7 linked regions of the Neurospora crassa OR74A genome follow. The protein of the gene in region 4 purifies or fractionates together with the protein of the main gene of each other region. This does not show direct contact. Links are inferred from orthologs where the notes say so. Each region holds a gene or a part of one and is shown on either strand. Other genes may lie near its edges. The genes, in order: ckb-1, NCU07870, NCU04327, NCU00133, NCU09302, ckb-2 and NCU06929.

Region 1 (3,923 bases), on a different chromosome or scaffold from region 4:
AAACCTTATAGATTATATACGTAGAGTATCGGAATATAACTTTATAAATCCGGAGGTTTATAAACTATATAATTTTAAAGGTAATTAAGGATTGTCCGCCTAACCCATTAACCCCATATTTATCAACCGTAACCAGTATAATAACTACTATATATTCTCTTATAATAAACCGCCCTACCGGGTAATATAGTAAAATACTTAGAGAAGGGGGAGGGCGCTAATATTTATATTTCGCTACTATAGTAAAAGTAAAGGAGGAGGAGGTATTTAACGAGCGGTAACGTAGGAGTTAATAGGAGAGGGCCTTACGCGGGTAGATTTAGAAGTATTTATTTAGAACTTTATAGAAAGTATTATATTATAGCAAATATTAATATTAAAAATACCGCTAGCTCCCTTACCTTCGCTTTTTTACCCCCCAACTCCCTTATAGAGAACTCTAACACCCTCTCTATCTCCTTATCCCTAAGTTTAATAATAGCCGCTAATTTAGTAATAGCCATCTTATAACTATATACTAACTCCTACCGGCCCTAATTAATTCAATTATAAATTATTAGCTTCTATTAAATAGCTGCCTTAATACTAGGATAGTCCGCCACCTTCTAACTAATAATAAGGGGAGGGATAGGTTATACTAGCAATATAGTATAAGCGAATTCCAGCCCCTATAGCACTACCTCTAATATTTCTAGTATATTTATAGGGATATAATATAGGGGTTCTCCAATACTCTAGGTAGTACTTTGGATAGTATTTATACAACGGGTATTAAAATTAGGGTAGGCACGTACACTCTAACTCTAGGCAATAAGTATAGTATTAGAACTAGCAAAGAGGACAGTAGTATTACTAGCAACTATAGTATTAACCGCCTTAGTAGTAGATTATTAGGATAATTAACTAGATTAACGATTTTTGAATACCCTTATATAAAAAAGAATAACGTAAAAGACGTAGATCTAGTAATGCGCGGGCATCGGTTACGTGGCCTCTATTGTATGTGTGTACTGGCTGGGCGGCTGGGCGGCTGGCTGGGCTTACTCAGCGAAAGTATGTGGGGGGGACTAGCCAGGGACCAGTTTGGGTCTAGCCAGCTACCTTTTGCGTTCATCAACCATCACCAAATGGACCCTTTACTTATCTTGGTTCCACCTGATAAAGTAGACGGTTGGGTTCCGACGCGCTGCCGCACGCGCATGTGGCAGGGCTCAGCAGGGTTATGTGAGAAGGCGCAAAAATCAGGCATCATACTACCGTGGGGCTGGGCGCGGGGCTGCTCCCTGCGGGAAGGGTTGAACGAGGAGGATTGGGAAGGGCCCAGACTGAAAAGACGGGGCGCGCCGCACAGACCAGACACCCACGAGTGGGCTGTAGCACGAAATGAGGGCGCGGGCTTCTTCTCGAGCAACCCCAAAAGGCAAACAGACTGAGCCATCGAGTCGACGGCCTCCGTTAGCGCAAACTCCAAAAACAGCACAGGAAGGGAACCACCAACCACCTCCTTCGCTGCAACACCACGTAGACAATCATTGAAGCGCCTAGCTATTCTGTCTGTCCTTTCGTCCATCTATTTGCGCCATCTCATGCGCTCGGTCATGTCTACGCAATAAACAATTGAACCCTTCCATCCAGCATCGCAGATGAGCGTCGACCCCAAGGGACACTAGCTATACCCAGTCGTCGTCTTGCGCCTTTCGATCGCACTCATCAGATAACGTCCGATAGCGGTACCAACAGCCTCATCGAACGCCTACTCCGTCGCCAAACACTCGAATCGTTTCGCGTCGCTTCCATATCCAATTCCACCATGTCGAGCTCGTCGGGCGTTCCAGAGTCATGGATCGCATCTTTCTGCTCCCTCCTGGGACACGAGTATTTTGCCGAAGTGTCAGAAGAATTCATCGAAGATGACTTCAACCTTACTGGCCTGCAGACCCAGGTCGCCATGTACAAGGAGGCTCTCGAGGTATGCTTGTTCTGGAACCTTTTTGTCCGTTACGTCAGCAGCTAATCATTGTGGTTTTAACCTGACTAGATGATCCTTGATGTCGAGCCCGAGGACGATGATGACGAGGAGGAGGAGGACGAGGAGGACGAGGAAGACATGTCCGGTGGCGACGGCATCAACAAGCCCCACGGCGAAAGGAGACATCACAGCCGCATCGCGAGCGATCTTTCTGTGATCGAGTCCTCGGCCGAGATGCTGTACGGTCTGATCCATCAGCGCTTCATCTGCTCGCGGGCGGGTATCCAGCAAATGTCGGAAAAATACGAGCTCGGTCACTTCGGCATCTGCCCACGCACAAACTGCAACCAGACCCGCACGCTGCCCGTCGGCCTCTCGGACACGCCCGGCGAAGACACGGTTAAGCTGTTCTGCCCGTCTTGCTTGGACGTCTACGTACCGCCAAACAGCCGCTTCCAGACGGTGGACGGCGCCTTCTTCGGCCGCACCTTTGGCGCGCTCTTCCTCATGACCTTCCCCGAATACGACTTGACCAAGACCGGCGCTGAGAGCGTTAGCAATCTCACACGATCCGGCTCTGACGACACCACCGTCATTAACGGCATGTACGCGCGCAACATAGCGCCGGGGCTGGGCAGGGGCAAGATTTACCAGCCCAAGATCTACGGGTTCAAGGTGTCAGAAATCGCGCGTTCCGGGCCACGCATGCAGTGGTTGCGCAGCAAGCCTGACGACTTGAGCGTGCTGGACGAGGCTCGTCGCTATGCGGAACAACAAGGGTCGGATGACGAGGACGAGAGCATGGGTGTGAGCAGCAGGACAGCTTCGAGGCGGCGGGGGCCTCCTAGGAGGCAAAAGCAGAACGGGAGTCCGATGGCGATCGAACAGAATGGGGCTGAGTCGGAGCTTTGAGGTCGAAGTTGTAGGCTGGAACTTGGGTTTAAATGGATATTGAAAGGGGAGGATCAGGTTTTGTAGGTAAGGAGTAAGGAATTGTGTGCGCAAGCATCTGGACAACGGACTGTTGATCACTTCTTTTTTACATCTTCCTCTAAACCTGGCATTGATTTGTATCACACGCACAAATATCCTTTGGGCTTTCTTTCTGATTCTCTACGTCATGGCGGGGGAATGGACGGACGGGTTCAGGAATCGGTTACAGTAGCTTGCAAGAGCGCTTTTTGGTTGGGTTGGGGTTCTTCTTTTTTCTTTTCCTTTTTCTATATCAAGGTTGATTTTCTCTTACACAGCGAACTCGGACGTAAATTCGCATTCCAATGATGATTGCATGCCGGTTATAGACGATGAGAGGAGGACGCAATATTGTTCGTTCCTCTTGTGGTTTACCCGTCAGTTCGCAACGCAGTTTTAAATTAAATCATCTTGGTTTTTCCACTTCACTACCACCCCCTACGCGGAGGAACCCCTTCTGACCATGGTAGCTACATTCCAAGATAGGTATTTTTGTTGCTGGCAAATATGGGTCCGTCATAAGCCGGTCATACGGGAAGACTCTGTCAGTAACATGACCATCGGATTACTCCATCCTTTTATCTATGACCTTTTTTGTTTCTTCCTTTTTTTCATTTTCTTTTTCTCTTCCAACTCCCCCCCCCCCCCCCCCCCCCCCGACCTACAATTCTTGTCTTTCTTCAACAGTCTTGTTGACTATTCTCTCGATGCCATACTGTCATGCTGACTCACGCAGATCTTAGCCTGTCTTCTTCCTATACTGCGGCTACCGAATTTTGGGATGTGAATTTACAAAATACCTACCAATCAGGAAAATGGGTTCACATCTCACAAGCGTATGTTACCAATCTCATCAGCCTGATGCAAAGAACGACCGACGACGAATATACAAGCTATATTAGTATTGACAGAAGAAGACAAAGTAAACAGATTGTGATTGTTGTTGAAGACAGAGATGGATATGCCAATTTATTCGAGGAGT
Region 2 (2,856 bases), about 1.6 Mb from region 4:
TTAGGTGATTTCGTCATTGATACATCACATCACATCAAGGGCAACAACGGAATGAGTCTCTTGGAAGTCATTTCAATTTATCTTTACTCATGCAGCGGGAATGATTCAACACACATCCATCGAGAATGGTCGGCTATCAACTCTGTACTTTTATTTAGCAGTCCCGTCGGAGGCGTTTATATCAAGGGAGTCTTACAAGGCTATTAAGCATATGGAGATCTTTCTTGCATCTTGTTTATCTTAGCCTGGCCTAGATTCATATTATGTCTCTATCATATTGACCCCCAAACGAGAACCGAGAGGAAAAGGCAGGATAAGAAAAAAAGGCGAAAAAAAGAATACTGAAAAAGTGAAATCCACCTGAGCTTGGTGGGGGTATACATGATGTGCTGACAAGAGTGGGATTCGAACCCACGCCCTTTCGGACCACGGAACTGAGATTTTCACTCGGATTAAGGGTTGACCTTAACGTGGCGCCTTAGACCGCTCGGCCATCTTGCCTATTATTGTATGTTTGGTTTGGGTGTATGGACTATAAGGCTGTAATGTGGTAGTTGTGGATGTGGGTGGGGATTAGGGTTGAGGCGAGAGGGTCGGGGATGTATCCCTGCCCTGGGAGTGGGAGTGAGATATACCAAAGAAAATTGTAGATCGGGCCAACACCATCCTAGACTGGTTACATGACGATATATAAAGGGGTTGACGGGTTGACAATAGTTGCAAACGTAGGGCATCGAAAAAAAAGTTATAATCATTCAAGAAAAGAAGCCCGTAGTTCGGAAACAAGCCCAATCCTTAACGCCGATGTCGACAATGTGAACACTGGAGGGAAACCATCCGCTCAACTTTAGTACCCGTTTTCACACATACCCATCCATCCAGCTTTCCTGTCCATGCCCACTTACTGGGGAACAAACCCCAACTTGGCAAAAAGCGTATCCATCGCCACCCATCTCCGTCCACATTTATCCAAATACTTTTCCACCACGCCCTTGACCGTACCAAACCTAACACGATTATGTTCCGCCATGATGGCGACCCTCTCCTTCTCCTCTGCACTTAGCTTAGCAGCATCCACATCTTCATCATTGTTCTCCTTGGCCTTACTCTTCGCCTTATCCACGTCCCACAGACTAGCAAAGTACACCAGCTGGTTGTAGATGTCCCGTTCCGTGTACTCATACCGCATCCGGCCGCCACACTCGCCGCGCGCCAGACCCTTGGATCCGAGACAGCGGGTGCCATAAACGGAGATCTGGCGCGTGCGGTTGCCGCAGGAGGAGTCGTCGCAGACGAGCCAGCCTTCGTAGTAGCGTGCTGTTTGGGCGCGGACGGCGGCTTCAACTTGGGCGACGACGCTGAGCATGGGGAGGACGTATTGGCATGAGGGGCATTGGATGCCGGAGGGCGTGACGTTGTTGACGGATGATGGGGAAGCGAGGCCCTCGAAGGGGTGCGAGGTTTTGCACTTGCGACAGCGGAGGGAGAGGCGCGCACAGGACTGGAAGCGTAGGGAGTCGGGGATTTGGGACTCGAGAGGGTGGATTTCGAGGTCTTGTGGGCCTGAGGAGTTGTTGTTGGTGTTGGAAGAGTAGCGGCGGACGTCGAGACCGAGGTTTTCTGCGAGTTGGGAGGTCGACGTGCCGACAATGTTGGCGCAGAGACGCTCGACTGGAGGGAATATTTGCTTGCCGATGTACCATTCTACGTCCGGAGACAGGCCAGATTCGGCCTTGAGCACGTCTTGAGGGGTGTAGGCACGCTTGGCGACGGCTTCTGAGGTGGTCTTGCTGTCGCCTGTGATGATGTACGAGATGACGTCGCCCTTACGGATGGTCTTGCCCTTGGCCAACTCGCGAAGGGCGACTTGGACCTGCGGCATCGAGTCGGCATTGGGATAATCCTTGGGCGCCTTACCAAGCTGAGTCGAGATGATGTACTTTTGCACAGGGACGGCACCCTCGCGCATCTTGGCAGATATGTCACGAAGGTACTCGTGGATGCGTTGGACAGACACCTCAGTATCGTCTCCCGAGAGGATCTCGGTGAGGATACGGTTGGAGATCTCCTTGGATAGCCCGCAGTATTCACGACGCTTCATATCGAGACCTTTGACCTCCATTTTCTCAACCCACTTGCCGTTGACCTCGACCATGTTGATGGCAGCATACTTCTTCTTGGCTTGGAGGAGGATGCGCCGGAAGACGTTGTCGATATCAATCTCAAGGAGGCGGTACCGCTCGTTGACGGCCTTCTTGAACTCGTGGCCGACACGCAGGGCTTCAGCAACGTTGTCCTTGTTCGCGTTGATCATGACGGAATCCGTGTCACCGTAGATGACCTGGAGCGAGTTGCTCTCCGCCAATTCTTTGGTGCTCCGCAGAATCTCACGACCCTTATAGGTGGTGAGCACGGCAAGAGGACGGGCGTAGAAGCGCGACTTGGTATAACCAAGACAGCCGTACATGGAGTTGGCAGTCAACTTCAAGGCGAGCTGCTTGATATCCCAGGTGGCGAGCTCTTCAGGTGTGGCATTCTTGTCTTTCATCAGAGACTTGACCTGCCTACGTCGGCTAACGAGTGTGGCAATCAGCTTGGGAAGAATGCCCTGCGCCTGCTCCTTGGGAACCTCGGGAACAGCATCATCGTCCTCGGACTACTTTGCATTAGCTTGTGACGTCAACGGAGGAAGGACCCTGACTTACCAGTGATGTTCGATCAACTGTGGTAAAGCAAATGTTGTACTCTTGGATGATGGAAGGGTAAAGGGAGTTGAAGTCCATGACGAGAACGAACTTGTCATAAAGACCCTTTTCTGGCTCGAAAACCAAACCACCCTTGTATTTGTCCTTCTTC
Region 3 (3,949 bases), on a different chromosome or scaffold from region 4:
CGGCAGAAGGCTTCGGAGATGCGGATGATGGCTTCCAAGTGACGGACCTAAGGTGGTGGTGGGTGAGGTTAGCAGTTGTTATTGTGTTGTATTTTGTGACGGAGGAAGAAAGAAAAAAAAAAAAAAAAAAAAAAAAAAAAAAAAAAAAAAAAAAAAAAAAAAGGAAAAAGGAAAGAGGGAAGAACTTACAGTAATAGGATAAGCCCCCGTCGCCAAACTCTCCCTTCTCATATCCGCAAACAGCCTCGCCACCTTATCCTCATCCATGTGATACAACTTTGGCTGGCACCGCTCTCGGGCATAAAGGATATACTTCCTCAACAGCTCTTGTGGGATTTCGCCCTCTTTTTTACGGCCGTGTTCACCAGTTTGTTGGGTTTCCGCAGCAGCTTGGGTATCGTGTTCAACCTCCATGGAGTCACCACCGCTAGCGTCCTGCGTGTTGTTGTTCATCAACGGATGACTCCTCGAATGCGACCCGACAATGAAGCGCGCCAGCCGCTCATCTTCTTCAGGCTCGACTGTGTCGCGCACGACGCAAAGGATGTCGAAACGAGACAGAATCGGCTCGGTAAGCTCCACGTTGGCAGAAAAGGGAATGGTAGAGTTGTACCGCCCGCCAATAGGGTTAGCAGCGGCGATGATTCCGCACCGGGCTTGCAGGGTCGTGACGATACCGGCTTTGGAGATAGAGATGGTCTGCTGCTCCATGGCTTCGTGGATGGACGTGCGGTCCTGGTCGTTCATCTTGTCGAACTCGTCGATCAGGCAGGTGCCCTTGTCGGCGAGGACGAGGGCGCCGCCCTCGAGAGTCCATTCGGACGTGAGCGGGTCGCGCCGGACGGAAGCCGTCAGACCGACGGCGGAAGCACCCTGGCCGGTGGCGAAGACGGCGCGGTGGGCCGTCTTTTCGGCGTACTTGAGTACTTGTGATTTGGCGGTACCGGGGTCGCCGAGGAGCAGCACGTTGATGTCACCGCGGATGTGGTGGGCGCCGACTTGCTTGGCGACGCCGCCGAAGAGGGAGAGGGCGACGGCGGTCTTGATGTCGGTGTGTCCGTAGATGGAAGGGGCGACGGAGTTGATGATCTTGTCGACAATGTGCGGGTCGCGCGAGAGACGGCGAATCTCGTGCTCGTCTTCCTCGGTCATGCGGAAGCCGGCGAGCTGGTCGTGGGATTTGACAATGTTGTTGGCTTCGAGGATGGTGGCGAAGACGGGGAAGCCGTTGCGGTTGTTGAGCTGCGCGTCGTAGTTGTTGCGGTAGATGCCCGTTACTTCGATCTCCTCGCCCGGCTTGGCCTTGTCGATCAGGTCCCAGAGGAGAATGACCTCGCGGTGACGGGGCAGACGACCGGCGGGAACGGTGCCGGGGGATTCTTGGAGGGTGAGCTTTTGGTAGTTGCGGTAGACGGTCTTCTCGGAGTTAAGGGTGAAGGGGCCACGAGACTGGCAGGACTGGCAGTAAGAGATCTTGACTTCGACGTTGGACTCTTGCTGGAAGGGACCGAGAGTGACGCCGCACTTGGTGCAGTCGAACTTGACATACTTGAGCTGGGGGAAGACACCGGTGCGGCGGGTGACGACACCGCTCACGCGCACAAGACAGTTGAGGTGCGACTGGCGGAGCTGACGGAGGGTATAATGGATAGGAAGGTCGAAGATACGGACGTGGATCTCGGCGTGAATGCGCTCGTAGTCGGGGTAATGGAGAAGGACGACTTCCATGGCAACCTCGTCGAAGAGCTTGAGCATCTCGGTTGGCGCATTGGCGAGGAAGTATGCGAGAATGGCCTTGGCTGTAGCGAGGTGCTCGTAGGAGACCTCGAGAGACTCGGCGTTGATCTCACCAAGAGTACGGATGCGGTTGCCGTAGACGGACGAACCGCTCTCGTCGGTGTATTCTGTGAGGAAAGCCTTGAACTCTCTGCGGATGGTCTTTTGTACAGCCGGGACTGAGATCCATTCGCTCAAAGTGGCAGCCTTGACATCCATCAGGGCCTCGAGGGGAAGTTCCGAGTCCATAATGTCGCCATCCATATCGACATCGGGGTCTTCATTGTAGCGGATTCTTCGGCGGCGTTCCAGGTTGGTAAGGTCGATATCACCATCGTCGTCATCACCAGGAAGATACGTGGTGCCCATTCCCATCCTCACTTGACGGTCTCTCTGGGCCAACTTGGCTTCAAGACGGCGCCTTGCGGCGGGGTCGAGGGCCTCATACTCGTCATCGTCGATGTCAATTCCTTCGTAGGCGTCGTTTTCGTCTCGTTCCCTATAATCGCGCTCGAAGCCTTCGCGGAACAAATCTACATCGTCTTCGGCCAACTCGTCGAGGTCGTCAATGTCGTCTTCGATTTCAGCGGCGACGTCTTCCTCGATGTCGTCGTCCTCATCTGCGCCATGGGCAACTGGGAAGGCGGGAGGAGAAGAGGGCATGACAGGGCTCGAAGCGCGGGGAAGCGAGGAAGCACCATCGTGATCGTTACGCGCACGCTTGCGAGTGGCCCTGGGAACGGCGCCACGGTTGGCAGAGGACGGGTTGTCGCGAAGCGGGGAACTGGTATTGGAGAGTTTCCGTTAATTCACTGTTTACTTGCGAAGAGAAGCCGTGACAGACGAAAGAGCAAGAGGCACACATACCTCATGATTGCGACTTGGCTGAGGGTATCTCAGAGGACTGTAGCCAGCTACAGATGGAAGAAACAAGAGAGTGGAGGATGCTGGCCTAGTTGTTACTATGGAGAATGAATGCCAGCCAGAAAGAGGATATGTTGCGGGGTGAGACAGAGAGAGAGAAGGGGGGGGGGGGGGGGAGGGGAATGGAGACAAACAGCGTCGAGGAACCACTGAATGAATGTTGCCCTTCGTTGCGGCGACCTTGTCCCTGCTTTTTTCTCGCGTTGCAGTCCAGGGAAGACGCGCCAGACGTGATGCGCTAAGCCGGATAAGGGCGGTCGCGTTAAGTGGTTGCTGAGGTTTAATGGGCTTGGCAATGCGTACCGGACCCACTTGGTGCTGCTCTTACACGCCAATTCGACTCGTCGAGATTCCCAAAAAGTCACAAAAGCTCAAAGTCCAGTGAACAATGACGAGCAAAGCATGAGCTATAAGGTGCTACATACTACAGGGCCATGTTATTGATCGGATCACGTTCAAATAGGTTTCCTTGAACCCAATTCCAATCTGTGCTGCTTGGACATATAGACCACAGTGCCTTACACCAAACCAAGGGTACATTGCAAGCTCGGTCCTTCTCCCCACGCTTCCACCAACGCGCCCTCCTCCTCCTCCTCCCCCTCCTCCTCCTCCTCTTCGCGCCCCAGCAATTGTTTTTTGTTTTAAAGACTTCCGGACAGAACCCATCTTTCGTGATCCAGCACCATCTCGAGGCATTTGTCTTATCAACAATTTTGATAGACCACCGACCATCCAAGATTGACCGTGAAAGCATCCATCACCCATGGACCCTCAACCGGCGCAACAGCCCGCCGAGGCCACTCCAGATGGCCATGGAGCTCCAGCACCAGTCGCGCTCACCAAGACTCGTACTGAAAGCTTCTCCGCCAAGTCAGAAAACTCTCAGACTGCCGCAGAGTATGTTGTCATATATTGGACTTACCACATGACAAAGTACTAACCATGGTCTAGCTTCATCCGCGACCAAATGCAACTAGAGGCCGACGCTCGCGAAGCTCTTCCATACGTGCGTGTCCCTTGTCTTCTCTGCCCTTTTCCTTAAAGTCAATCCTAACCTCCCACCAGAGCATCGAAACCTGCACCAAGCCCCTCGGCCCCCTCCGCCAGGCCGTCTTCTCCTGCCTGACCTGCAACCCACCACCCGCCGACCCGAAAGCGCCCTACAATGCGGCCGGCATCTGCTACTCCTGCTCCGTCCAGTGTCACGGCGAGCACACTCTCGTCGAGATCTTTGCCAAGCGCAACTTCA
Region 4 (3,957 bases):
GACAGAGCGGGAACGCATAGAGGTAGGTACCTACCTACCAGGTAGGTAGATTTTTGACCGCTAGAGCGATACCCACCTCAACCGCCTGCACGCCCTGCAGGCTGATACATTCCATGCCGTACTTTTGGAGTACGGCCTCTATCCATCCTGCGGCCCTGAAGAAGAAGCGAAGTCTCAAAGGATGTGCCGATGTCTTATGTTCGTTGTAGTCGAAGGGGAAAAAAAAGAACCATAACGGATCAACTAGGTAGCTGACCATCTGCCTGCCGCTCTTCAGTGTTCATTAGCTCCATTGCGCGCCCAAGTTGAGGGAACATCGAGATACTAGTTTGACACTGCCGTTGGGAATGTCGTCTTTGACGCCCCAAGTATCGTATCGATATATGGTAGAGAAAATACAGAATTAACACATATTCGTGTCACGAAAGTACCGGAACGCCCCAAATACCCAGCTGCCTGCCTGCCTTCCAGCCTGTGATCTGCCTTTTTAATCAAACAAGTAACGACGCGCCAACATGAAAAATAAACCTAAGCCGTCTTCTTCTTCTTCTTGGGGCGCTTCTCTCCCTCGTCATCATCCATATCCTCATCCTCATCATCGACCCGATTGTCGACGTCGCTCTCCTCGCTGCCCGACCCATCACTCTCATGGTTGCTGTCGTATTCCTCCGCCACGTCGCTTTCGGACTCAGCCTGGAAGTCCTCATCCACGCTCTCCTCATCCTCGTCAGCGGAGCCACGATCAGCCTTGGGGCCGACGGCCTCTTCGTCCGAGCTAGCCATGTCGTCATCGCCCAAGGCGGCGGCAATAAGGTTGGTGTCATCATCAATTTCGTTCTTGACACGCAGTCCTTTGAGCTTGAAAAATTCCTCGAGAGCCTTCAAGTCTTCACGGTTAATGTTGCTGAATTGGGATGAGCCCGCGCCGTTTTTCATGTGGACTGTAATGTCGAACGTCGACAATGCCGAGACCGCACCGCCCACGCGTGAAAACGTGATGGACTGTGTCTGTTCGTATGAGATGTACGTGGCCGGCTTGGGGACAAACATAAACGCCTTCTCCAAGCAGTAGAGGAATCCTTCACTGGCTTTGATAGAGCACTTGATGCCGTACTGCTGACGGTGCCTGCGGGTTCCTAGGTCAGTACCGTTGCTGGCTATGAAATGAACAGATATAACTCACGTTGTAAAGTCCTTGGCTGGTGTAGTGACTTTCTTGTTCGCAAGTCCCTTGAAAATGTACGCCACAACCTGATGAAGTGGTTGCTCGTAGTGGCTCTGAAGCTTGTCCTTGTATTTTCCGTTGAGTTCCTCCTCGGTGATGTTCAGGTCAAGAGTCACCTCTTCGTCCGCCTTGAACTGCATCACCACAAATGGATAACGTGTTTGACCTTGACGAAGGGGCGGGTCGAGACCAATGCAAAGCAAGAAATGGAGATCGTCCGGCTTGGGAAGCACCATAAATTTCTTGATAGCATCGTATTGGATCTTGTAGTCGTATGTTTTGCCACGGAGACGGAAGGAGGCATCGTACATGTCGATGTCGAAACGTCCTCTATCGGGAGAGTTAGCACCGGAAAAGGATCAACAACCAGCGTGCAGTTTCCACGTACCTGGGCGTGAGATGTAGCACATCGAGGAATGTAGCGATAGTATCACCCGCCGTCTCACCAATCTCGGCCTTCTCAATAAGGGTGTCGTAGAACAGAGTCACGGCGTTCTTCTCTTCTTCATCGGCGTCGCTACCAGCCTCACCACCCTCGGCCTCCTTTCGTGTTGTCGTTCCAGGGATGTAGAAGCGCACCTCGACCAGCTGATCCTTGCCGGCCGACGCCTTCTTGCCCTTTCCGCCTGTTCCGCTGTGACCGTTCGACTTGCCGCCATCGTTGCCGGCGAACTCGACTGCGATTTCGTTCCTTCCGGCAAGATTTGTATTGGAAATCTCGGAGTAAGGAATCTCAAAGGCCGGTCGGTTTTGGACGTTGAAAGTGAGCTCGGCTTTGCTAAACTCAGCCTTGCCCCAGTTCCATCCTCTCAGAGAGTGTTCCTTGTTCTCGAGGTTCACGCTGTACCAGTTCTTGAAGATCTTGCTAAGGCGCTCGTAATCCTGTGGCAACACGTCAGCGTTCCTTCGCTTCGATGGCGCGTGGATAGGTTTCGTACTTCTTGGTGGAAACCATCGAGCTGAACTACGCCAGAGCTTCGCAATAGGATTTTAACCTCATAGCCCCTCGCCGCCCTGCTCCATTGAGCACCGCCGATGTTGCTCGAGTCGAGAGTGAACGCTTCGCCGCCACCCGCAGGTTTCCATCCCAAGCCATTTTCCGCGAATCTCGACTTTCCGCTCTCCTTGGACAGATCCAAGTAGATATTGTCAAAACTCTCGCTGTAAATGAAGGTATTAGAAATGGCACTGAGCTGTGATCTCCGCCGGTGAAAGCCGTGCCCTACGGCGTAGATGGAGCGGGGCACATCCGTCGTCGCAGGGTTAGACGAGCAAGAGCGCGCGAAAGCATGAAATCCAGAAAGGTATGCGACTTACATGGCAGCCATATTGCCCCTCTATCCAACTGGTTTAATGGTGAGTTGGGGTTGATGGACAAGTTGGAAATGGCGTCTGATGTTGTGGCAGTGATTGCAAAGTGTTGCAAGCAAATACTGATGAACAATCCAACTGAAGGTTCGCGTGCCTCGGAGAAAGTTGACCGTGTCGCGACTAGGCCAGTTCGTTAATTGAAGGTTAATTCGGCTGGCAGGTGGCATTCCGCTGGGCTAGGCGACGACCCATGCTGGTGGCAGGTGGCAAGTCGCAGTACTACTGTACGTGTAGGGTCTACGCAGTGGGCAACAGCTTGGTTGTAGCGCGTGGCAACTGTGAGCTTCTGATTTCTCTCCCAAGCCTGCAAGAACACCACCACTTTATTCAGTTGTCACCTTCCAAGGAAGCTTTGCCAACGACACACAGGCCTTCTTGTCGCTCTGAGAGTCATTCACTGTTTGTATCATCTTGAATGTCTAAAAGAAACTGCGTCCTCTTGTCCTCCAATCTGTCGCGATCTACAGTAACACAACACCTTCCATTCTCTTGTAGTTACGGATCAACAATTATGTTGGGTGGTTTTTTCACATTTGAATTCTTTGTATCTCGCTCCTTCTTGCTTGTATTCGTTCCGCTAGTGCTCGGCCCGTTGAACACGGGAGGGAAAGAGGACGTTCCAAGCGAGTCGCTTCGTTACGTGGGAAAAGTGTCCCCTCGCGACAAGCGTTCCTTGTTTGGTCAGAGCATTTTGAAGCTTTCAACTGGTTCCAAATATGCCACTTGGGTTGCCACTCTCAATCTACTAAACAAACTCAACATAGCTTCGGTTCATGGACATGGGCGCGATTCCCAATATCGTCAACCCCCCAAAAAGCATGTGGGGCTAGCGCGTGGAGCTTTAAGTGGTTGCATATGATATCTTCCGCGCCTGTTTCATGACATGGGATTGTATTAGAGGTACTTAGTCACCTTAAGTGGTAATGTTCTCTGCCTTGTACCACTTCTTGATCTCTTTCTTTTTCTTCCCTTGAACACAAACATAACTCTCAAGTTAGTTCGTTCTTGTTGTGCCCATTGGCTGTTTCACAAGGGCGGAAGACTCGCTCACCGAAGGTGACAATTCCCGTCGTAGACGTTCCTGCCTGCGGCCTTGACCTGGAGACCACGAGGGGCACTTATACGCCACCCCACGATTGACGTATTACATGCTTGAACTGGTGGCATCCCGCACACCCGCTCAAGCTGCCCCGCCTCGACTTCCTTCCGTCACTCGTCTGCCCTGATCGTCATATTTCGCTCGGTTTCTTTATTCAAACAGAACGAAGCTCTCCTTTGTTGCCTGGGCCGTTTGTTTGCCTGCTTCAATTGAACCTTAGCTGGAGCTATTAGTATACCGAACTTCCGACTTGCACACTTAC
Region 5 (4,133 bases), on a different chromosome or scaffold from region 4:
CTCCGGTCAACATGTTGGGACAGGCTGGCCATGCCGTGAGACGCGAGTCTGTTGAAAGTTGTGCTGCGACAACAACCTGATATGCCCAAGTGAGTGGCCCATGCATGTTTTGATGTTGTCATGTGTCGTGGTTGCAACCATCATCGTTAGACGGCCTGTTGTCCCTCCCCGCCGGAGCGTCATACCGGTCCCAGCTTTGGCTTCATTGGAGGCTTATTTTGTCGCGGCCAATTGACAGCCAAAATCAAATCTTCGACTCCTGCTATGCCACACGTTATGGGCTGCCAGGATGCTACACTATATGGAGAGACCCGCTACTCTCAGGTATGTTTGCTAGCGACGTCAAAGTGCCTGGTCCAAAACACGGTTGGGCAACTTGGCTACGACTTCAGCCACGTATGCCTTATTTACATGTGATCCCAAGTCCCTAGGCTACCTGATTGGGAGAAGAGACATGGAAAGGTTCCATAACCACCTATACCTGCGGAACTTCATCAAGCACAAGAACTTGGAGACATCCTATTCAGGTACACCAGAGATCTCACCGGCCGAGTGGTTGCGCTACCAATCATGTTCACCATTCGCGTGGCACCAAGACACAAAAGTACCTATTGGTGGCTTTGTAAGAACGGTGCAACCCAGCTTGGAGAAAAAAAAGAACGGAAAGGAAAAAAAAAAAAAAAGGAGTATAAGAGACGAAATAATAAATCCAAGACTATATGGCCTCGTATGCGCAAGGACGGAATAAATGCCATGGCAAGGCGAAAGCCAAACACTCAGTCATCGTCATGAGGCTATTGCCACCAACATCTCGTCATCCAAACATGGTATCATCGCAGAAACTCCATCGTCCCAGAATACACCCCGTACAGCAAAAATCAAGAAATACCACTAGGAACACCCAGCTATCCAGACACATGAACACTGCCACCACTACATCCATAAACACAATTTCCCACTCGCCGTCCCGCCGGCCACCCAGTCCTTGGTTGGGTGAAAGTGGGCAACCGCCGGCACCGCAGTGATCCCGTCCCCTCCCAGCTGCGCCAACTGTTCTCCGTCCTCTGCATAAACGTCCACAAACCGATTCATGTTTCCAATGGCAAACTTCTGCCACCCATCTTGTGGATTTCTTTGCCACTGCGGCTTCAGAATCGTCACCCATCTTCCTGTCTGGTTGTTATGCGGTATCTCAACCGTCGGTTGCATTTCCTTTGCCGGTATGTCGTGCCCAGCTTTCCACTCGCCAGCCGAGGGGAAACTGTAGATTTTGATGCGGTCGTCGTACGAAGAAGTGGCAATGTGTCCTGACGAAGACCAGGAAGCATGCGAAACGGAAAGACGGGATTCATGTTCCCCTAGAAGGGCAGGGTGGCGGAGGTCCCCCTTGCCCGTGATCTTGCGCAAGTCCCAAATCTTGAGAGTGCGGTCGAGCGAGGCGGTCGCGACAAGGTAGGGATGCCGAGGGTGCAGGGAGAAACCTCCAATCTTGTGGTCAGTTAAGCCCCAAATTTCGGCCGAGGAAGGTTTGGTGCGCTGGTCTTGTCGACCTAGCGAGCCGTGCAAGGTGGAGAAGATGATCATGTTTGGGTCGGTGGTCGGGATGTCGATGGCGGAGATGGGGAGATCCTCAGACGAAGAGGACGGGGCAAAGATTTCGGTTGAAATGCCCTTGTCCAAGTCCAGTTTGCGAATCGAAGAGTCATACGAGGCCGAGTAGATGGCATTGGCGTCGGTGGGAGAGAAGTGAAACGAAGAGATAGTGCGGGAGTGGGTTTTGAAGGCGGATATGATGGGGTCTGGGTATTCGGCATCTTCATCGTCGTCCTCAATTTTGGGCGTGGGTTGGGAGGCGTCGAACACGCCCATGGCGCCTTCTTTATCGCCAGCAAAAATGATAGGCTTTTCTTCCGTGGGGTGGAAGCACATGGAGTAGATGCGCTGGGGTACGATTTTAATGTCTGTTACAACACTTTTGTTAGTGGAACATCCATCGTCGTAGGGACCGTTGTTGGGTTAGAGGTACCATTGACTGCCCACTTCTCGTACAACTTGAGTCCGCTCATGCGCAACCGCAGGTCCTTCAACCCCTTGTCCTTGGTATGCTTGACATCCTTTTCTGTAAACGTCCTCACGCCTGGTTGCGCCCCTCGTACACCGAGACCCTTCAGAAGCGCTAGACCGTCGGCACTGCTTTCCCATTTGCGACCTTCGACCGTGATATCGCCCAGGTTCAAGTCACCGCTGACGCGCATCCTCTTGGCCTTGGCCTTTGCCGCTTCCTCCTCAGCTTCGACATCTAGTTTGCGCTTGAGAACTGCGGAATCCGCTTCGAGACCGGCGAGGCGACTGCTCTGGCGCGTGGGACGGGCTGCTTCCTTCTTGACAGGTTCCCGCTTGACTCGAGGGGTGCTGGCGCGTTTGGGTTTGGGAGGCGCTGGCTTCGGGATAATCTTGTCTGCCGTGGTACTGATGCCGCTAAGGATGGCATTGTTGTAGGCAATGTTCTCGAGGCGCTTGCGCTCGAACTCGCTCATGACGGTTTCCTTCTTGCGTGGAGGCATCTTGGGACTCGAGGAGGACGATTTGGTAAAGACAATGAGAGTTGACAAAAACGGGTCTGCAAAAACAAGAGATGGTCACCAAACGCTGTGATTGTTCGAGAATGGACGGAGGGGAAGGACAGGAAGCAACGCGAGTGTGGTTAATGCAGCAGATGGTCGCAATCGATATGGAAAATCAATGGAACTAAAATCTCAAAGGCGCGCCACCCGACGGGTCGCGTCGATGCACGAGAAACGAATCGGCGCACGAAATCACGGGATAGCCATTCGCTGTTGAGGCCGGTAGGGTCTTTTAGCGCTCGATGCACTAACGGTTTACCGTGTCAATTTGCGCTGTTATTGTTAGCAGCTCCCTACCTACATTGGCGGGGCAAAATCCGTTCCGGCAGGCAAGGAATCTTTGATCGATTCCAAAATTTTGGATTGGGAACTTTTTGACTTGGAGCGGTTTCCTGCATTCTCCCCATCCTTCCACCAACAAATCGCATGCTGTCACACCGTGCTGGACACGATACAGGTACCTGTTTGCAACAATATCAGAGGACACAGAATTAGAGGCCATAGTCGCTATACCGAAACCCGGCGGAACCGAACCATCGCCACCATGTCGTCGACAACCATGTTTCCCTTTCTTTACCAGACCAGGACTATTCAGCGCTTGTCCCTTACCAGTCTCAGGACAACAGCCCTACGCGCCTACTACAGATCCGAATCCAAATTCGATTCTCGTTCGCCTCCATCTCGTGGCCGAAGAGTAGCCCCATCGATGCTCGGCAGAGATCCTATCCCCTTCGACCTCCCAAGTCAACAATTCGAGAAGCCCAGGCGGAAATGGCAACCAGAAGACCTCGGCGAGGGACAAAAGACAACCCTAACCCCCACAGAGCGCTATGCTTTCGACACCATCTTTCAAGACATAGTCAAGAAAAACAAGACTACGGAAGACGACCCGTTGGAGATCAGCATCAAAGACCCCGACCCCGAAGCCGCCCACAACACCGTCAAGATTCTGCTCCAAGACGCCTCCGCCGCATACAGCAAGGAATGGCGGCCTGTCCAGCGACCCTTCGATCCCCTTTCGCCCGTTGGACAGACAGAACGCGCCGTCGACCGTGACAGCGCCCTCCTGCGTTTCCCTCCAAGCCTGCGCCAGGCCGCCCGCATGGCCCTTGGTATCCTTGAAGCAGACAAGGGAACGGGGAGATCGTCGATCCTCGACAACGCCCGAACCGCCGAACAAACGCAAGAACAGCTCCCCGCCGATCCCCTCAGCAAGCAAGTTGCCGAGGAAGCTATGAGACGCGAAGAACGCACCCGAGTCGAGTCGAAGATGAGAGCTGCCACTTCCGACTTTCAATTATGGGATATCCTGGAAGAGGAGGTCTTCTCTATGGTCAAGAAGCTGGGCATTACCGACCGGTCCGCGGTCCCCAAGGCGCCTGTGAAGAAGACAAGACGTAAGACCAAGGAGGTGCAAGAAGATGGAGACTACGAGTACGGCTACGAGTTCGAACCAGATCAGGAGAGACTCTCCATGCACCTTTACGGCCCTCTCTACCCCGCCTACCT
Region 6 (3,918 bases), on a different chromosome or scaffold from region 4:
CCGCCTGCTCCAGAACATGCCATCCTCCCACGCGTGCTGTCACTTCTCTCATCGTTCAAGCAGTACTTGGACATTGTGGTGCAGTGTACCCGCAAGACGGAAGTGCGTTCCTGGCGTACTCTGTTCGCCTATCTCCCTCCACCTCAGGAGCTGTTTGAGGAGAGCTTGCAGCGTGGGAGCCTCAAGACTGCTGGCGGCTACTTACTCATCCTCCATACCTTTGACGAACTCGCAACAGCAAGCGAGCAGAGTGTGCGTCTCTTAAGCAGAGCAATGCGCGAGGGCGACTGGGAGCTATGCAAAGAGCTGGCGCGGTTTTTAGCAGCGCTCGATGAAACGGGGGACACGCTGCGTGAAGCAATGGAGCTGGCCAAGATGCGAGTGAAGCAGGAAAGTGAGCTGGAGGATGGCCATGGCAGCGTAGGCAGCGGGCTGGGCACAATGCTTGGAGTTCCTCAGGGTGGTGGTGCTAACGGTGCTTCCAGCACTACCAGCTCATTGATTTCCAATACCAAGGGGATCATAGGTAGTGACTGGGATGCTGACAGGCGCACAATCAGCGACGCCGGCAGCGTTGTCAGTGCTAATCGGTACGAAGGTTAATGAAGTGGATGGAAATTGGAAAGCGGATAGTTGGTTGTAGGATTGTTGGATATCCATAGCCGTGGCGCTCACGATCCTACCAGAACGTCACTTTATGATGAAGCGGGGGTCTTGAGCTCTAGACACATGCTGTAGGGCAACACAGATGTTATAGAAGCCGGGATGTTTCAAGATAATCTAGAACAGCTATAATCACAGGCGACTGGCGTTCTTATCCCCCATTTTTATTTATTTATATATATTTTTTTTGGGTTTTCCGTCTCCAACAATATACCTGCTCAAAAATAAGGCACAAACTGTAGCACTGAACGTCATGACGCCCAATAGAATACCTACCTTAATGACAGAGTACATGCTTCCATCCCCAGTACCTGTGAACGTACAATTAAAGTCATACGCTGGGCCGTTGGGCTGACTGAAGGCCGACGAAAGGTACCCGCCCGCTACCTACCTACCTACCTAGGTAGGTACTTAGGTAGTCAGATGGTCGATTTTGCAGACCTGATAACCTACCTCTGTGTAGTGCCCTGGGTAGGTCGGGACTGCTGATAAACAGACTGCGATGAGCCAGGGGCGGGGGGGCACTGCAACCTGCCCTGCGGGGACCACTGCAACGGCGATGAACCCCCCACCAAAAAAAAAAGTCCCTTGTCATGGACTGTCAGCCTGTTTGGCTCCCGGTCTAGAGTCCAGACCCCCTCGCCTGCCCTGCCGTTGCCCTGCACCAGGGACGGCTTTGAACCCTCTTCCACCTGAACTCCCATCAAACCGTCGCAAAAAAGCATCACAATCCTCTCCAACGTCTTGTCGTCATTGTGCCTTGTGCCAGCTCAATCTCATCCGACTCGGACCTCCCACTCCCCATCTACGGCCCGGCGCGCATTAGTTCGGCCCAACAAAAGGTTCAAACGCCGTACTTGACCCCGGCACCCGGGATTTTGGCCTCGTTGATGCGAAGCGCCAGCCGACGGTCGTTCGCGCCCACTTTCCTCCCACCACCACCTTCCTCCCTTCCTTTTATGCGCCGAGTATAGACGTGGTGTCGCCGGCCATGGATGACTTTGTGAGCGAGTCTGAGAGCGACTATGCCAGCTATTGGCGCGACTGGGTATGCTTCTCTTGCAATTGTTGTTATTGTTTACTACAGTAAAGGTTCCCCAATCATGCTGACATTTGCGCGTCCGCCTGCAGTTTATTTCCTCGCGAGGCAATGAGTACTTTTGCGAAATTGACGAGGACTACATCACTGATAGGTTCAATCTAACTGGTCTCAACACTGAGGTCCAGTACTACCAATATGCTCTCGATCTCATCACCGATGTCTTCGACCTCGACTGCGATGACGACATGCGGGAAACAATAGAGAAGTCTGCTAGGCACCTGTACGGTCTTGTCCATGCTCGATACATTGTCACAACGCGGGGTCTTCAAAAAATGGTCAGTAATCAACTCTCAGCATTCCATCTTCATCCAGCGTCTCCTCGTCTTCATCCGTGACTAACGCACTTCCCACCAACAGTTCGAAAAGTACAAAAAAGCCGACTTTGGCAAGTGCCCGCGCGTCATGTGTTCCTCGCACCCTCTGCTGCCCATGGGTCTCTCGGACGTGCCCAACTCCAAGCCGGTGAAGCTGTACTGCGCGCGTTGCGAGGATATTTACAACCCCAAGTCGTCGCGCCACGCCGCCATTGACGGCGCCTACTTCGGCACCTCGTTCCACAACATCTTCTTTCAGGTATACCCGACCCTGGTGCCCGCCAAGAGCGTCGAGCGCTACATTCCGCGCTGCTACGGCTTCAAGGTGCACGCCGCTGCCGCTCTGGTGCGCTGGCAGAACAGCCAGCGGGACGAGATGCGTAGGCGGCTGAGGAAGCTCGAGGTCGAGAGCGGGTTCAAGGACGCCGAGGACGAGGCTGAGCTTGACGATGATGACGAGGAGGAGGAGGAGGAAGAGGAGGAAGAGGAGGAGCTGGCTGCTATGGATGAGGCTGAAGGTGCCCAACAGCAACATGCGGCGGCGGCGGCAGGTACAGCAACGGGAGGCGTTGCTGCCGGCGGTGAAGGCGTTCATTAGAAAGGGCCTGCTGCTACTGGTGGAGAAGCGGATGAAGAGTATTGGAATTCAGAAGCCACGATTGGAGCCGCCGACGAAGCTGACGATGAAGCTGAGCTACCAAACGAGCCAAACGAGCCGAACCATTGGTTGACACCTCTCATGTCTGCTGCTGCAAGGCTGCGACGGAGTCTCAGGCTAGGGGAGGACTATGAAGAGCAGGCTGAAGTGGAGTTCGATGAGTGGATGGAACAGGCGAGGTACGGGATCTTTTGACTTTTGAGGTGGTGGAATGCATATACCATACAGTATCGAGTAACAAAGTATGAGTACAGGTGCCTCTCTTCTCTTTGTTTTTTTGTTTCTATTCCCGCACCCCATAAGCCTCTACACAGCGGACGTCGGGATCGATGCGAATAAGGGAGAGAGAGCCATTGATAGAGTGTTTATGTTCTTTGGTCTAGCTATACGTCTTTTCGGTTCTTACCAGACGATTTCTTCTCACCTTGCCGGCTTTGCTTCTCTTCGTCTGTGCTGAACTGCACCCTTCTCTGTTTCAAGCCTCCTAAAAACCAATCGTCAAATCGACGGGAAGTTGAACTTAACGCTTGAAAGGCAGTCTCTTGGAGCGTGAAAATTCAAAACGACCAGACCATATATCCAAGCGTCTACTGAGGAAAGATTCACAAGCGGTGTCATGCGGCAACACGAACCTTTCAAATACATGAACTGTTACCACAGCATAAACACGTTGATTAATGCCGAAGACCAGTGTGCTCAAACTTCCCTTGAAGAGTTACCAGGTAGATATGTGTACATATGGATAGGTTCCTCATTTCCCTATCTCAAAACGCCTCCTGAACATAAGAGAGACTGTACCAAAACCCATGTTGGTGACATAAAACCATTTGTTGTTCCTCATATTTCCTCGTTTAGAGAAATAATCGCTTTTGTCATCAAGCCCACCCATCCGGGCCAAGTCCCTACTTCCGGAAAATGCACCTTGACTCTTCTGATCCGACAATGCGTCGAAATTTGCCTTTCATATCTGATCGTCATTTACCCGTCTCTGTAAGCTGTGTCAACCTGTTCTCATTGATCAACGTCAAGCGACGGTGGTTTCCTCCCCGTGATGATCCCACCGGGCTGGTCCGGTCCCACATTGCTTTCCAAACCGGTGCCATTGGCCCGTACCACGGGGTGCCCATAGCTGCTGCCGTGATCTAAAGAATCCGGACTCAGCGCCTCCTCCTCGTCTCCCG
Region 7 (4,298 bases), on a different chromosome or scaffold from region 4:
CTTGTAACCACCGCGTCTAATAACCACGGTTTGGTTAATGGCCCGATCAGGTCCGAAGGTTCGCGGAGCTGGCATTTGCTTGCCGCTAGCAGTGGGGTTCCGCTTCAGGGCTGGGTTCATCGCACTGAGATCTGGGCCCGCAGTAGCAGTGTTGCGACCACCCTTGGCCGCGACCGTGGTGACGCTGTTAGCCCGAGTGACGAAAACACCAGCATTCTCGTTGGTGGTCGTGGTGTGAAGGAAAATGTAAGAGCGATGAATGTGAATGATCTTGCCCTGGCGTTGCTGGCCACCATATTCACGGACCACGTCGTCCAGCCTGATTTCGGAGCCGTTGCGGTCAGCAGCCACAGCGAACTTCCTCTTGGGGAGCTTGTTGGTGATTTGCGACGGCTGGACCTGTTTGGTATCGCCGTTCTGGTCTAGCACCACGACTGACTCGCGATCAACCTTAACGATGCAGCCGACAGTCGTGGCATCCAACTGCACAAGATCCAAGAGGGAGTACTGTCCAAGAGAGCCTTGGCCACCAATATCAGATGCCTCACGGAGGTCTTTGCTGAACACGGTGATCTCCGTGTTGGTCTGGTCTGTGAGGAGGGTGACTCTGTCGTCCACGATCTTGACAACCATACCAACTTCGTCACGGAACCGGCTGCCACCAATGACCTTGACGTGGTCACCAATCCTGAACCTCTTGCGCAGACCCTTGTTGGGGACGTCGATGGTCCGGCCAGCAAGATCACCCTCGGTAACCTGCAATGTGACGATGTCGCCTTGAACATTGGTGGCCTTGCCGATGACACCCTGCTGCTCGCCCTCATACACCTCGATAATATCACCAGGGACGTACGCAACACTCTTAGCGCTATCCTTGAGAGTAGCAGCAAGAGCCTTAAGATCGAGGTTCTCTGTACCGTCCTCGGCTCCACTGGCGAACTTGGTAACCTCCTCCAACGTAGGGTTGACATTCTTGACCTCGAGCTGCTGGATCTTGATGTCTTTCACCTGGAAACCGTTCTCGAAATCATCGCCGTTGTAGTTCCAGCTGTTGGTCTGCGGGTTCCCCTGGAGGTAACGGGGGTGTCTCTTGCGCGCCTCGGCTTCACTGAACAGACGCTGGGGAGGACGAGGGCCGGGCACACCGGGGCGCTTGCGCTTGCCATCGGCCTGGAAGACGGGGTCATCCCTGACACCGTAGTCGAGTCTGGGAATGAAACGGACTCTGGCCTCGAGGCCGTTTTCTGTAACGTCGATAACCTGAGCAAGATCACCGGCGTGCTTGGCCGGCTTCTTGAGACGAACCCAAGCGCCGGGCTCCAGGTTAGGCGTCTTGATGACACGCAGGAGGTCGGGCATGTCCTTGATCTCGACGAGGTGCATGTTGCTCCTGGGATAAACGTTGAGAATGCCATCGAGAGCCACGAGAATATCGTTCTGTCTTTGAGCCTCAACGTAGATGTATCCCTTCATGACCGAGTTGATACCACCACGTTCGAAAGCAGCCGTGATGGGGACCTCGTTCTTGGTGCCCATTCGCTCTTCGATACGACGCATAATCGAGAAGATGACCTCACGCTCCTTTCCTTCTTTACACCTGACGGCCCAAATGCTGGGGTCCTCGACACTGGGAAGAAGCAAGCGACGGGGCACAATGGCCATGTCTCCGTAACCTCTAGCCGGGGCGCGCTTGCCGTAGCGCTCACGCAGGATCTCTGCCTGTTTCTCAGCGTCGAGGCTGGCCTCCATCTCTCGGCGGCGGTCGAGCTCGCGGTGTCTTCTGTCATCGTTAAGGCGGCCGCTGTCGGCAATATCGTCAGGGTGGGCATTGTCGATGAAGTCCTCTATCTCTTCACCGTCGCCGACTTCGTCTTCTCCCTCGTCTTCGTCGTCAACTTCGGCTTCGATATCGAAGAAGGCAGCTCTACGGTCCTTGTTGCGACGCTTGCGACGATTGCCCTGCGGACAAAAGACAGCGGGTTAGCTAGGTCCCCGATGTGGCGACACGGGTAGGTTTGGCGGGTCATCTGCACCGGGACTTGTCTTTTGTTGTTTTTTTCTGGCAAGTGTGGATGGGATGGTGCTGCAGAATTGAAGTGTGGAGGGACATTATTGGGATCCGGACTTACACCATGAACATCATCCTCGTCTTCCTCATCTTCCTCTTCCTCTTCGTCCTCCTCTTCCTCCTCATCTATCTCCTCGTTCTCCTCTTCATCTTGCTCTTCATCCTCGTCATCGTCGTGGTGATCTCGACGCGATCGCTTGGCCGGGCGCGCGTCTTCCTCTTCGTCATGTTCCTCCTCTTCCTCTTCTTCGTCTGGTACCGGGCTACTAGCCTGCCTCACGGTCTTACCAGCGGGGCGGTGGTTGTGCGTGGTCTCTTCGTCGTTGTCGTTGTTCTCCTCGTCCGACATGTCGGCGGGGGCGGGGTTGAAGTTGTCATCGTCGGACTCGTCGTCGGCGCCGGCGAACTGCCAGCTGTTTGACGCCATTCTGAATAATTTATCTGAAAGAGAGCGGCGAGCGACAGGGGTGTCGTACAGTCGTACTACCGGCGGTCGCGCGTTGTGTCGAGGTGTGGGCGAGAGATGGAAAAGGAGAGAGGAAGGGAGAGATGGCCGTAGGTCGCGAGATGTGGGATTATATTTGTAGGTGAGAAAAGGAAGATTGGCTGGCCTCGAGCCGATGGATGATGTGGTGGGAAATGGACCGACTTTTGAGGCGTCGACTCGCTGTGAGTGTTCAGTTGCAGACTTGCAGCAGCAGCACCGCGGGTCGTGAGGCGGAAAGAGAGCTGCACGGCCCACAACTGGACAGTGAGTGGGTGGACTTGGAAGCACGGACGGTCACACCTCCACCCCCGGTTGGTTGAGGACACTGGACGGCAGGGGAGTGTGCTGCTGCTGCTGCCAAGCACTGGAATAAGCCGCTAGGCTATTCGCGGCCAAGGTCAGGTCTCCGGCCGGCAAGAGGTTCCTTTTGTTCAGGTTACATTCGACCAGGACCTTGCAGTCCAGGACGGGTACCTAGGTAGGTAGAGATACCTCATCGTCTATTCATTTGCGCACGTGGCTGAAGTACAAGTACTTTCAGCTGATAGAGTATGTAGAAGAGAGCGCTGCACCGTGATAACCTCCCTTTCGTTTGCCCTTGTCAACACCATTACTAGGCAACCTTTCATACCTAGTAAACACGGCCAAGTAAAAGTCAACTCCTGGCAGAGACAGACAGACAAAACTATCTACATGATACAGCGCTCCTCCAGGAAAAAAACAATCACCTGACCACCTCCTTATCCTTCCGGGTGACCGTCTGAATGAAGCTCTGATACTGCTCATCTTCCGCGGTCTCCATCATGATTCTAGCATTCCGCCTCGGTGGAAGCTCCCTAATCTCCGGCTTGGGTATCTGCTTGTTTGCCGTCGTCCACAACACTCCCCCCGTCCTTGCCGCCTTTGGCGCTTTCAGTTCCGCCGCCGCCGCTTCCTCCGCTCTTGATGGAGCATCAATCATCACCACCTCCTTGTCCTTGTCTTTCTCCTTCGCGTGTTGTCCCTTTCCAGACCCGGCCGCGCCGGCCCCGTCCTGCGCCTTATCTCCTTCTCCTTCGCCGTTCTCTGCCGTCTCGGTGGGTCTGGGCAGCCTCATGGCCAGTAGAACGTATTCGCTTCGTTGCATGGTATCCATGATATCGTCCATGTACCTCTTGACCTCTTCCTCCGGCGCCACTACTCTTGCCAAATTATCCAGCACATGTTTGCCACTGGGAGCCGCCGTAAACAACCTTATAGTTATGGGCTGGTAGTAATCAAGCTCCGGGTCCGCCATCGGATATACTGCTTTGCTTCCCCTCCTGATGATAAGGAATGACGCCACCACCTGCTGTTGCTGCTGTTGTTGTTGTTGCTGTCCTTGGGTACTGCTAGCGCTGCTACTGGGAATAGTCTGATAATCCAGAATGCTGAACTTCGGAAAGAGGTACCGATCACCGTTTCCTCCCGCAAACTCGAATACGATGGCCGAATAATCAGGTTGTTTGGGCGGCGGCGGGGGGCCCTTTGAACGAAGCGCCTGTTGGGCCGATGACTTGTCGGCTTTCTCTCCTTTCTCCTTTGTGGCCTTTTCGGCCTTCTCCGTCGTCTTCTTCTCCTCAGCAGCGTTGGCCTGTGAGGTCGTTCCTGTACCGCCATCAGTCCCATTGCTCGCGCCGTTGGTTTGTTTCGAAGATCCCGCTGCCGAAACCGTTGATTGGCGTCGTTGCTGTTGAGTCTTTTTAGTGACAAGGTTAGAATGCG

What was found.
Region 1: the proteins of NCU00133 (region 4) and ckb-1 purify together in Saccharomyces cerevisiae (affinity purification with mass spectrometry, with the first as the bait; 3 studies listed by BioGRID). This does not show direct contact. The link is inferred for Neurospora crassa OR74A from reciprocal best matches to the Saccharomyces cerevisiae genes POB3 and CKB1.
Region 2: the proteins of NCU00133 (region 4) and NCU07870 purify together in Saccharomyces cerevisiae (affinity purification with western blotting; 4 studies listed by BioGRID, with this or other methods). This does not show direct contact. The link is inferred for Neurospora crassa OR74A from reciprocal best matches to the Saccharomyces cerevisiae genes POB3 and POL1.
Region 3: the proteins of NCU00133 (region 4) and NCU04327 purify together in Saccharomyces cerevisiae (affinity purification with mass spectrometry; 3 studies listed by BioGRID, with this or other methods). This does not show direct contact. The link is inferred for Neurospora crassa OR74A from reciprocal best matches to the Saccharomyces cerevisiae genes POB3 and MCM2.
Region 5: the proteins of NCU00133 (region 4) and NCU09302 purify together in Saccharomyces cerevisiae (affinity purification with mass spectrometry; 3 studies listed by BioGRID). This does not show direct contact. The link is inferred for Neurospora crassa OR74A from reciprocal best matches to the Saccharomyces cerevisiae genes POB3 and CMR1.
Region 6: the proteins of NCU00133 (region 4) and ckb-2 purify together in Saccharomyces cerevisiae (affinity purification with mass spectrometry, with the first as the bait; 4 studies listed by BioGRID). This does not show direct contact. The link is inferred for Neurospora crassa OR74A from reciprocal best matches to the Saccharomyces cerevisiae genes POB3 and CKB2.
Region 7: the proteins of NCU00133 (region 4) and NCU06929 purify together in Saccharomyces cerevisiae (affinity purification with mass spectrometry; 5 studies listed by BioGRID, with this or other methods). This does not show direct contact. The link is inferred for Neurospora crassa OR74A from reciprocal best matches to the Saccharomyces cerevisiae genes POB3 and SPT5.

The regions. Positions count from the first base shown.
Region 1 is NC_026506.1:1,759,333-1,763,255, forward strand, and holds ckb-1 (casein kinase II regulatory subunit), read left to right. Parts: upstream 1-1,377; 5' UTR 1,378-1,810; coding exon 1,811-1,969; intron 1,970-2,038; coding exon 2,039-2,881; 3' UTR 2,882-3,423; downstream 3,424-3,923. UniProt on the Saccharomyces cerevisiae protein: Regulatory subunit of casein kinase II/CK2.
Region 2 is NC_026503.1:1,179,566-1,182,421, forward strand, and holds the end of NCU07870 (DNA polymerase alpha catalytic subunit), read right to left. Parts: coding exon 2,706-2,856; intron 2,657-2,705; coding exon 902-2,656; 3' UTR 501-901; downstream 1-500. Other genes in the region: NCU07869 (INSIG domain-containing protein), read left to right, coding at 1-8. UniProt on the Saccharomyces cerevisiae protein: Catalytic component of DNA polymerase alpha, which in complex with DNA primase (DNA polymerase alpha:primase) constitutes a replicative polymerase. POL1 has a role in promoting telomere replication during interaction with CDC13.
Region 3 is NC_026505.1:5,630,912-5,634,860, forward strand, and holds the start of NCU04327 (DNA replication licensing factor mcm2), read right to left. Parts: upstream 2,801-3,949; 5' UTR 2,649-2,800; coding exon 2,644-2,648; intron 2,561-2,643; coding exon 190-2,560; intron 48-189; coding exon 1-47. Other genes in the region: NCU04328 (metaphase-anaphase transition protein), read left to right, coding at 3,464-3,597, 3,652-3,706, 3,766-3,949. UniProt on the Saccharomyces cerevisiae protein: Acts as a component of the MCM2-7 complex (MCM complex) which is the putative replicative helicase essential for 'once per cell cycle' DNA replication initiation and elongation in eukaryotic cells.
Region 4 is NC_026503.1:2,736,417-2,740,373, reverse strand, and holds NCU00133 (FACT complex subunit pob-3), read right to left. Parts: upstream 2,801-3,957; 5' UTR 2,554-2,800; coding exon 2,543-2,553; intron 2,387-2,542; coding exon 2,164-2,386; intron 2,108-2,163; coding exon 1,614-2,107; intron 1,556-1,613; coding exon 1,184-1,555; intron 1,127-1,183; coding exon 529-1,126; 3' UTR 265-528; downstream 1-264. UniProt on the Saccharomyces cerevisiae protein: Component of the FACT complex, a general chromatin factor that acts to reorganize nucleosomes. The FACT complex is involved in multiple processes that require DNA as a template such as mRNA elongation, DNA replication and DNA repair.
Region 5 is NC_026507.1:10,021-14,153, reverse strand, and holds NCU09302 (WD repeat-containing protein), read right to left. Parts: upstream 2,801-4,133; 5' UTR 2,565-2,800; coding exon 2,027-2,564; intron 1,962-2,026; coding exon 934-1,961; 3' UTR 284-933; downstream 1-283. Other genes in the region: NCU09303 (hypothetical protein), read left to right, coding at 3,169-4,133. UniProt on the Saccharomyces cerevisiae protein: DNA-binding protein that binds to both single- and double-stranded DNA. Binds preferentially to UV-damaged DNA in vitro. May be involved in DNA-metabolic processes.
Region 6 is NC_026501.1:3,448,660-3,452,577, forward strand, and holds ckb-2 (casein kinase II subunit beta-2), read left to right. Parts: upstream 1-1,280; 5' UTR 1,281-1,654; coding exon 1,655-1,711; intron 1,712-1,794; coding exon 1,795-2,040; intron 2,041-2,122; coding exon 2,123-2,677; 3' UTR 2,678-3,418; downstream 3,419-3,918. Other genes in the region: NCU11228 (DUF1339 domain-containing protein), read left to right, coding at 1-603; NCU02755 (PAP2 domain-containing protein), read right to left, coding at 3,749-3,918. UniProt on the Saccharomyces cerevisiae protein: Regulatory subunit of casein kinase II/CK2.
Region 7 is NC_026507.1:793,248-797,545, reverse strand, and holds the start of NCU06929 (transcription elongation factor spt-5), read right to left. Parts: upstream 2,801-4,298; 5' UTR 2,496-2,800; coding exon 2,130-2,495; intron 1,960-2,129; coding exon 1-1,959. Other genes in the region: NCU06928 (hypothetical protein), read right to left, coding at 3,280-4,298. UniProt on the Saccharomyces cerevisiae protein: The SPT4-SPT5 complex mediates both activation and inhibition of transcription elongation, and plays a role in pre-mRNA processing.